2 linked regions of the Rattus norvegicus genome follow. The protein of the gene in region 1 purifies or fractionates together with the protein of each later gene. This does not show direct contact. Links are inferred from orthologs where the notes say so. Each region holds a gene or a part of one and is shown in the gene's direction. Other genes may lie near its edges. The genes, in order: Camlg and Tnfrsf13b.

The links.
Region 2: the proteins of Camlg (region 1) and Tnfrsf13b purify together in Homo sapiens (affinity purification with western blotting; 3 studies listed by BioGRID and IntAct, with this or other methods). This does not show direct contact. The link is inferred for Rattus norvegicus from reciprocal best matches to the Homo sapiens genes CAMLG and TNFRSF13B.

Annotation. Positions count from the first base shown.
Region 1 is NC_086035.1:9,005,747-9,009,587, reverse strand, and holds the start of Camlg (guided entry of tail-anchored proteins factor CAMLG), read left to right. Parts: upstream 1-879; 5' UTR 880-963; coding exon 964-1,129; intron 1,130-2,646; coding exon 2,647-3,110; intron 3,111-3,841. UniProt on the Homo sapiens protein: Required for the post-translational delivery of tail-anchored (TA) proteins to the endoplasmic reticulum.
Region 2 is NC_086028.1:46,299,837-46,303,751, forward strand, and holds the start of Tnfrsf13b (tumor necrosis factor receptor superfamily member 13B), read left to right. Parts: upstream 1-1,499; 5' UTR 1,500-1,552; intron 1,553-3,915. UniProt on the Homo sapiens protein: Receptor for TNFSF13/APRIL and TNFSF13B/TALL1/BAFF/BLYS that binds both ligands with similar high affinity. Mediates calcineurin-dependent activation of NF-AT, as well as activation of NF-kappa-B and AP-1.

The DNA of each region.
Region 1 (3,841 bases):
TTCACCCACCAGGCAGGGTGTGGGCTGTCTTCACACAGGAGAAAACAGAGGGCACTTGGTAGTGAGATGCGGTTTATTCAAAGGGTCAGAGATCTGAGAACAAGGTTATACTCCTTGGAAAAACGATTTAACACTCCATGTCAAAAGGGCAGTTTCACAGGGAATGAAACAGTTAATTTTAACTGCTCAAAGTTTGCATTTCCCCGAATACAAATCTGGCTAGTATTGAACGGTTTTAAGTCTGCACTCTTCAGCACCTGAACTGGAGAGCGAACTCAGAACGAACGAGCTATTAACAATATACCTATGCAGAGCAACTTAGAACAAACTACTGGTGCATACTTCAGGCTCTTTTCTAATATAGAATACAAAGTCCTCTACACGGAGATTTAAGCACGCAACAGGGTTGCAAGAGTAGGGAGAAGGGAAGTAGGGAGTGTTGGCAATTTAGACGACAGGGGTACAGAAGAGACTAGGGAAATCTGGCGGAGTGCTGTAAAGAACTAGAATCACCACCGCCACCAAATCCCAGGGCCATGCTCCCTGAAAGCGTCGCACCCGCAATTACGTATCCCAGGAGCAAAGAGACGTTGACTGGTAAAAAGCTCCTGCCGCTGCAACCTCCATTTTGCTTCCTGGCAGAGAATAAAATGGACCTATTCCTCACTGGCATTTCACCCATCAGGAGGGTGTGGTCTCTTCACCTTCGAGAGCAGCTGAGAGGTAAACCTGGTGGTGAAAAACCTCAGCACTGCGAGCCAACTTGGAAGGGAGAACCCTTAAACCTGGCCTGCCCTCACTGAACATGGCGGCAGAGCCTCGTGCAGGCCTTCGGCGCATGCTCACTCCTCAGTCCCCGCCTTCTAGGGGCGGGACTACAGTGGGAGTGGGACCGAACTCTGAGGCCCTGCCTGAAGTCATCCTCGCCTTTACTGTCACCCTGAACCAGGCAGTAGAGAAAGCATGGAGCCGATGCCTTCGGCCACCGACGGCGGGGACAGGTCCGCGACGCCCTCGGGCCTGTCGGCTTCTCAGCGTCGAGCAGAGCTGCGGAGGAGGAAGCTGCTCATGAACTCCGAGCAACGCATCAACCGGATCATGGGCTTTCACAGGCCCGGGAGCGGCGCGGGTGAGAGCTTCGGTTTCCCCGTCTCCCGCCTACCTCTTTGAAAATTCAAGATCCTTCCGTCCCCTCAACTTCCAATCCATTTGACCCCAAAATGCACTCTGACCCAACTCTGTCCCCGCCCCCTAGGTGACGACCCATATTATATTGTCGCTTAGCCCCAGGATGTTCCTTGTTGCTTCCAATTTTCTTGGATCCTCGCCCTGAGATTGTCTCCACCCTGGCCACAAAGCCTTCGTTCCGGAATCTGTGTGTACGGTTATCTGAGACAGCACCTATATTCCTGATTACTCGCCTTTCTTGAAGGCTGCGCATTTTATCCCCATTCTCATTCCATTGCGCCCCCAGGGAGATTTTCATATCCGCTCCAAATGCTTTTCCTTCCAGTTAATCCCCTGACCTAGCTTTTGCCTTTTGCTTTGTAACTCTCGTCCACCACATCAGTCGTTACTCAATTATTGGCTGGTCCGTCCATTGTGGATCAGAGACCCTATGGTCCTATCTTGGTGGCTGTGCTCGGTGCCTTCAACATTGTTACAGGTCTTCGAGGAGAGGGAATACATATGTGCGAGCATTCTTTATAGACCTTCCCGAAAGTTGTGATGCCCCCGCTGAGATTTCCTTTCATTAGCAGAGGTACATCACATTTTAATAACTGCATTTACCCTAAGAAAACTCATCTTTCATGCAATGCAACCTCGTGTTTTCTTATGAACACAATTGAATACAATTATGCTTGACTTCTTTAAGTTTCAGTTTGGGTGTTTCCTTTAGTAATTGGCTTTTTAGTCACTGTTTGCAAGCGTGGTAGAACTCAAGTATTTCTATGAGGCGTTAGAGATGTAGTTCTGAACTTCTAGACAATAGAAATGAGATGTGTGGGTACCACTTTCGAATCATCTGAAACAGTACAGGAAATATTTTTTGTAGTGATCAGTCTGAAGATAGTCTTAAAGTATTGGTGTTTCTCGAGTCCCTTTCCTATTCTGTTCTTTTGCTCTGCAAATTTTTATCACTTTTAGAGTTCTCTCTTTAAAAACTAGAACAGCATCCTAAAAGTGCCAGCTCATGGCTACCCAGGGGATGGCCACCGTGGTTATAGGCACGCCACACCCTGTGCTCACAGCTCTCCCGACTCAGAAATGTAATTGTAAAATAGAAACCTTAAGAGACTTTAATGATTTTGTATTTTTATCAGTATCAGCTAGTGGGAGAAATTGAGGCATATCTCTGGGTATTTTTTTCTGGGAAAGAATTGTTCTTTATTTCTTGGGACAGCCTGTGCTTGATTTGCTTGTTTACTTAGAAGTGGTAGTTTCTGTCCTCAGCGTTTGAACTTCCCTCTGCCAGCCTGCCTTTTTGTGGCGGCCTATTTGAAGGTGGTAGGCGAAAGAGCTAGTTCTGTTTTCTGCATCAGTCTCTATCCTGACTCAGAGACCTAGTTCTAGCAGCAGTGGGAGCGTTTAAGATGTTCGTGGGTATGTAATACACAGAGCTCTTTTTTTTTTTCCCTCCCTCAGAAGAAGAAAATCAAACAAAGTCAAAGCCACTGGACAGTGACATACTGAATCCCCTCGGCGTTCCTTCCGTTTCCAAGAGGGTAGTGCTTGGCGATTCAGTCGATGGAGGAGTAACTGACTACCAGCCCAGTGGTGGCGCCGACATCAGGGGAGCCCAGCTGGGAGACAAACTGGACTCATTCATTAAAGCACCAGAGTGCAGTAGCAAGGATGGAGTTGAGCTTCGGCAGCGGAACAGAGGTGACCTGACGGCAGACTCGGCCCCGAGGGGTTCTCACCACGGCCTAGAACAGTACCTCTCCAGATTCGAAGAAGCAATGAAGTTGCGCAAACAGCTGATCAGCGAGAAGCCCAGCCAGGAAGATGGACGGACGACGGAAGAGTTTGACTCTTTTCGAATATTTCGACTGGTGGGGTGCGCCCTGCTTGCTCTTGTTGTCCGAGCTTTTGTTTGCAAATATTTGGTAAGCCAAGAGCTGCAAGCGATCAGCTAGGAAAACGCAAGTCAAGGTGCCGTGCTAGGGATTTCTTGTCAGCATTACCGGATCTATCCGGCTGCTTGAACGTGTGTTATACGTTCTGTTATTTGTCCCAGTTACAGAATGAGAGCCTATTCGTAGTAATAACTAATGTCTGTAGCACTTTATGTGCTCGTCTTATATTAATTCACTTAAACTCCATCTTTAGGAGCCATGTGTTGTTTGAACCCTCGAAAACTCAGATGAATTCTCTTACCCAAGGTCACAACAGCCGCTGACAGGTGGGGTGAAACCCAGGCAGTTTCGTCCCAGAACCGAAAGTCCAGATGCCTATATGTACTGTGTATTAGCAAGTGATTTCCCAAGTGGTTTGAGATGTTGAAATGTGCTTCTTGCGGTCCTGTGTATAGGCAATAGTCTACCGTTCAGAGATCGATTCTGCAATGCATAATGTAGTAGCATCCTAGCAACAGTGCATTGTGGGACACAGACGAGTGCAGAAAGGCACAGTCTATATAATTCAGTGTCTTGGCTAGAACTTTTCTTTTTAAAGATTTATTTATTATATATAAGTACACTGTCACCATCTTCAGACACACCAGAAGAGGGCATCAGATCCCATTACAGATGGTTGTGAGCCACCATGTGGTTTCTGGGATTTGAACTCAGGACCTCCGGAAGAGCAATTAGTGCTCTTAACCACCGAGCCATCTCTC
Region 2 (3,915 bases), on another chromosome or scaffold:
GTTTTTCTATGATCAGCTCCTTTTCTTTCTATTTAAACAATTGATTTCAATTTTTAAATTTTTATCCGTATGGTGTCCTGCTTGAATACGTGTCTGTGTATCATACATATGTCTGAGGTCCTTGGACAAGAGGGCATTGGGTCCCCTGGAACCCAAGTTACAGATGTTTGTGAGCCACGTGTGGGTGCCGGGAGTTGAACCTCGGTCCTCTGAAGGGCAGCCTTTGTGCTCATCCCTGCTGGACTGTGATCTCTTCTTCTTTTGTTTGTTGTTTGAGGCAATATTTCTCTGTGTAGCCCAGGCTGTCCTGGGACTAGCGCTGTAGGTCAGTCAAGAGAACTCCGAGATCTGCCAGCTTCTGTCTCTCAAATCCTGGGATTAAAGGCATGTGCCAGCACACCCAGCCCAACTTCCTTTTTTATACACAAAGTTTTCCAGTTCCATCCATATTCATACAAATGTAGGAGTTCCCTCTCTATTGAGAATGAAGAGAATCCCATTGTTTACACACACCACAGTTTCCTTATCTACTCATCCACTGAACACATGCAGATTGACTTCGTATCTGGGCTACTGTGAACAGCACTACAATGAACTTGGGAGGGCAACTGTTGGGCTTTCTTATCCCTGCAGGATTCCGAGACCTGGGAGTATACGGAAATGGAGTTGAAGCCCAGGGTAATCAGGGCTGTGGCACTGATTCGCCCATGTCCCTTATTGGAGGAGTCACTGTGCACTGAGAACGTGCTGTAAGAATGAACCTGTGGTGGCCAGGTGTGGAGCACACCTGAACTCCCAACACTCTGGAGTCTGAGGCAGGGAGATCTTGAGTTCAAGCCAGCCTTGCCCAGCTTAGTGACACCTGTGCCAAGAGAACTAAAAACCAGACAAAGAACAATCAAGTGACTGTGAGAACTCGTGTCATTTTCACAATGACTCAAGGACCCACTTTCCAGATGAGGGCATGAAGGTACGAGTCACTTTATACCTAAGTCCTTACCAAGGCATCGGACCCAGAAGCAAGATCCAAATCTGCAGGGACTGCACAGAACACTGGTACCTAATGTCCTGGGGGCAGTCACAGATGGCTTCCTGGGGGAGGTGACGCTTCAACTGAGCATTGAAGAAGGGACAGCATGAACTGACCAGGCAGAAACAAAGAATGTAATAGTCCAAGAGGAGGGAAGGCTATGCAGGGAGCACAAGAGCTGTGTGGGCATCCTAGCCTGGAGAGCGGACAGTGGATAGGAACCAGGCCTAGGAGTTGGGCAGGGAAGATCTAGAATTATCCAAGCCCTGTCATAACACAACCGGACTAAGCCCCCACTGCTAAGCTAACGGGACAGGTCGCTCACCTGTACTCCCTGGACTAAGGCGCAGGCGCAGGCGCAGGTCAACAGGGCGGCTTATTTACATCCCCAGGTCGAAGGGGGAAAACCCAGGAAGTGTGGCCTAGGCCTAACAAAATCTCAGGCTAATAATAAACGCCCTGAGTAATGAGTGGTGTGGGCCAGGGCAGGCAGGAGGCTGGCGCTGTTGGCACAGGAGCGTGGTGAGTAGCCAGCCGTGGTGGGTGAGGGCCAAGAGGGTGCTCCGGGGGCTGGGGATCCAGCAGTGCCACCGCAGGCACAAGATAAGGCTACTCAGGTTTCGGACAGCCTCAGTCCTGCACACCGGAGAAGCCTCCAGGGGTCAGGTCTTGCCTTCCAGGGGGAGTGGGGTCAGGCAAACAGGCAAGAACCTTTGTTTTCTATCCATGTGCTCCAGACTTTCTCCTTGTGCCCCCAGATTATTTTGAAGTGAATCTGGTAGATTTTAGATGCCTCGGGAGTCAGCATTTAGAACTCCGCCCTCACTTAGCTGTCGTGAATTTCTAAGAACTCTTAATATCACAAAGCGCCAACGAGCATAGGTGTTGAGCAAGAAGTGCCGACGGTGTGCGTCCTCGGTGGACAGATTCAAATCAGTCCTTCGTGGCCCACAGGAGAAAATGGGTTCTGTATTTCCACCTCTACCTGTTCCAATCTGCCTTCTTGTTTTTCTTGCTGATTTTCGTTGATGAATCAGGGCCGCTTATCCTATAGTGTGCCTGGGGTGATTTAGAGAGTTCCCTCCAAGGCGGAGAGGTTCCTCATCAGGACCCTTGCTCACAGCGGCTCCACCTCTCCCCATACCCAAGCTGGCCTCAGGCAGGCCTTCGCTAGGATTTCCATCTCTGTCCAGCAACCATGTCTGCCAAGGATGCAATTAAGTTTCACAGAGAATGCAGAGTCAGTGATCAGGAGCCACCTTGACCCAAGAGGAAATGTCAGAGGGCCTGGGACCAGGAATTAGGAATCAGGCAGAACGGACCGGATTCCATAGCAGCTTCCTAGTGCTGCCGGGAGAGCTGGGACAGGTGGAGAGATCAAGTTACCATTTGTTCGTAGTTTGTACACTGCCCCTTGATCTCGGAAAAGTCTCTTCTACAAAATGGACCCCAAATCCACAAACCTGCTTTCAACCCTTCAGACTCTCTTGAAGAGTCACAAGCAAAAGTTCTGGGAAGTTAAAACTAAACAATAACAACAAAAGAATCCTTCGACTAATTTTAATATTTCAAATAATTTAAAATTTAAAATAATTATTTAAATATTTATTATATTTGTACTATCGTGAGATAGGCGTACATTCTTTCTGTTCATAGTTTTCTCCCTAACAATAAAAGCTAACAATAAAACCTCTCTGCCTTGGAGGAAACTCTCTAAATTACCCCAGGCACATTATAGGATAAGCAGCCCTGCTTTATCAGCAATAATCACCAAGAAAAATAAGAAGGCAGATGGGGACAGGTAGAGATGGGAATATAGAACCATGGTGGACACGGTTGCTGGACAGAGAGGAAATTAAAAATAGAAAAGTGCTGGCCAGGTGTAGTGGTGCACACCTTTAATTCTAGCACTTGTGAGGCAGAGGCAAGCAGATCCCTGGGAGTTTGAGACCAGCTTGGTTTACATAATGAGTTTTAGAAAAGCCAGGGCTACATAGTGAGAGCCTGCTTCAAAAACATCATGATGATGATGATGATGATGATGATGATGATGATGGTGGTGGTGGTGGTGGTGGTGATGGTGATGGTGATGATGGTGATGGTGATGGTGATGGTGATGGTGATAATGATAATGAGATGATGGTGATGATGACGATGATGATGATGATCCATTAAAATGAAAGTAACCACCTTAATATATTTCACATAACAATTATATTTTACTCAAATAGAAAAATGCTTTATTTAAAAAAAGAAAAAGCCAGAAGTATTTGGATTCATAGCAAAAAGCTGTGGTTTGGGCCTTGTGTTCTTAAAACTGTCTTGAGTGTTTGGTTCTACAGCAGTACAGGCCAGCTCGCTCACACCGGTACCTGACTGGTACCGAAAACTGAGCCTTTCCTTCCTCTTTCAAGGTATTTACAGTAGGAGCCAAACGTGTCCTGTGTCCAGATTTATTTTTGCTTTTTGTTTCCTTGGCTTGGTTCTTCAAGAAGACAAGGTTTCTCTGTGTAGCCGTGGCTGTTCTGAAACTCTCTGTAGACAGACCAGCCTTGAAATCAGAGCTCCTCCTGCCTCTGCCTCCCAAGTGCTGGGATGAAAGGCGTGGGCCACCCTCGCCTCCCAGCCTGTGTCCAGTTTTTAAAAGGTGCACGAATTCAAAGTTGCCTTCCTCGGTGCCTGGACTAAGGGGTAAGGAATCCATCAGTCTGGGGCTTGGAAGAGAAGCGCCAGTTGATGAGCTCCTGCTTTGCACAGGATAAGAAGTGACCTTACAGTCAGTCCTGCTAAGGAGCCTGAGCACCACCTTGCAGACACGACAGGTCTTCCTGTGTGGGGCGAGCTGCTGTCTTGACTTTTAAAAAGCGGGTTACAAACTAATCTAC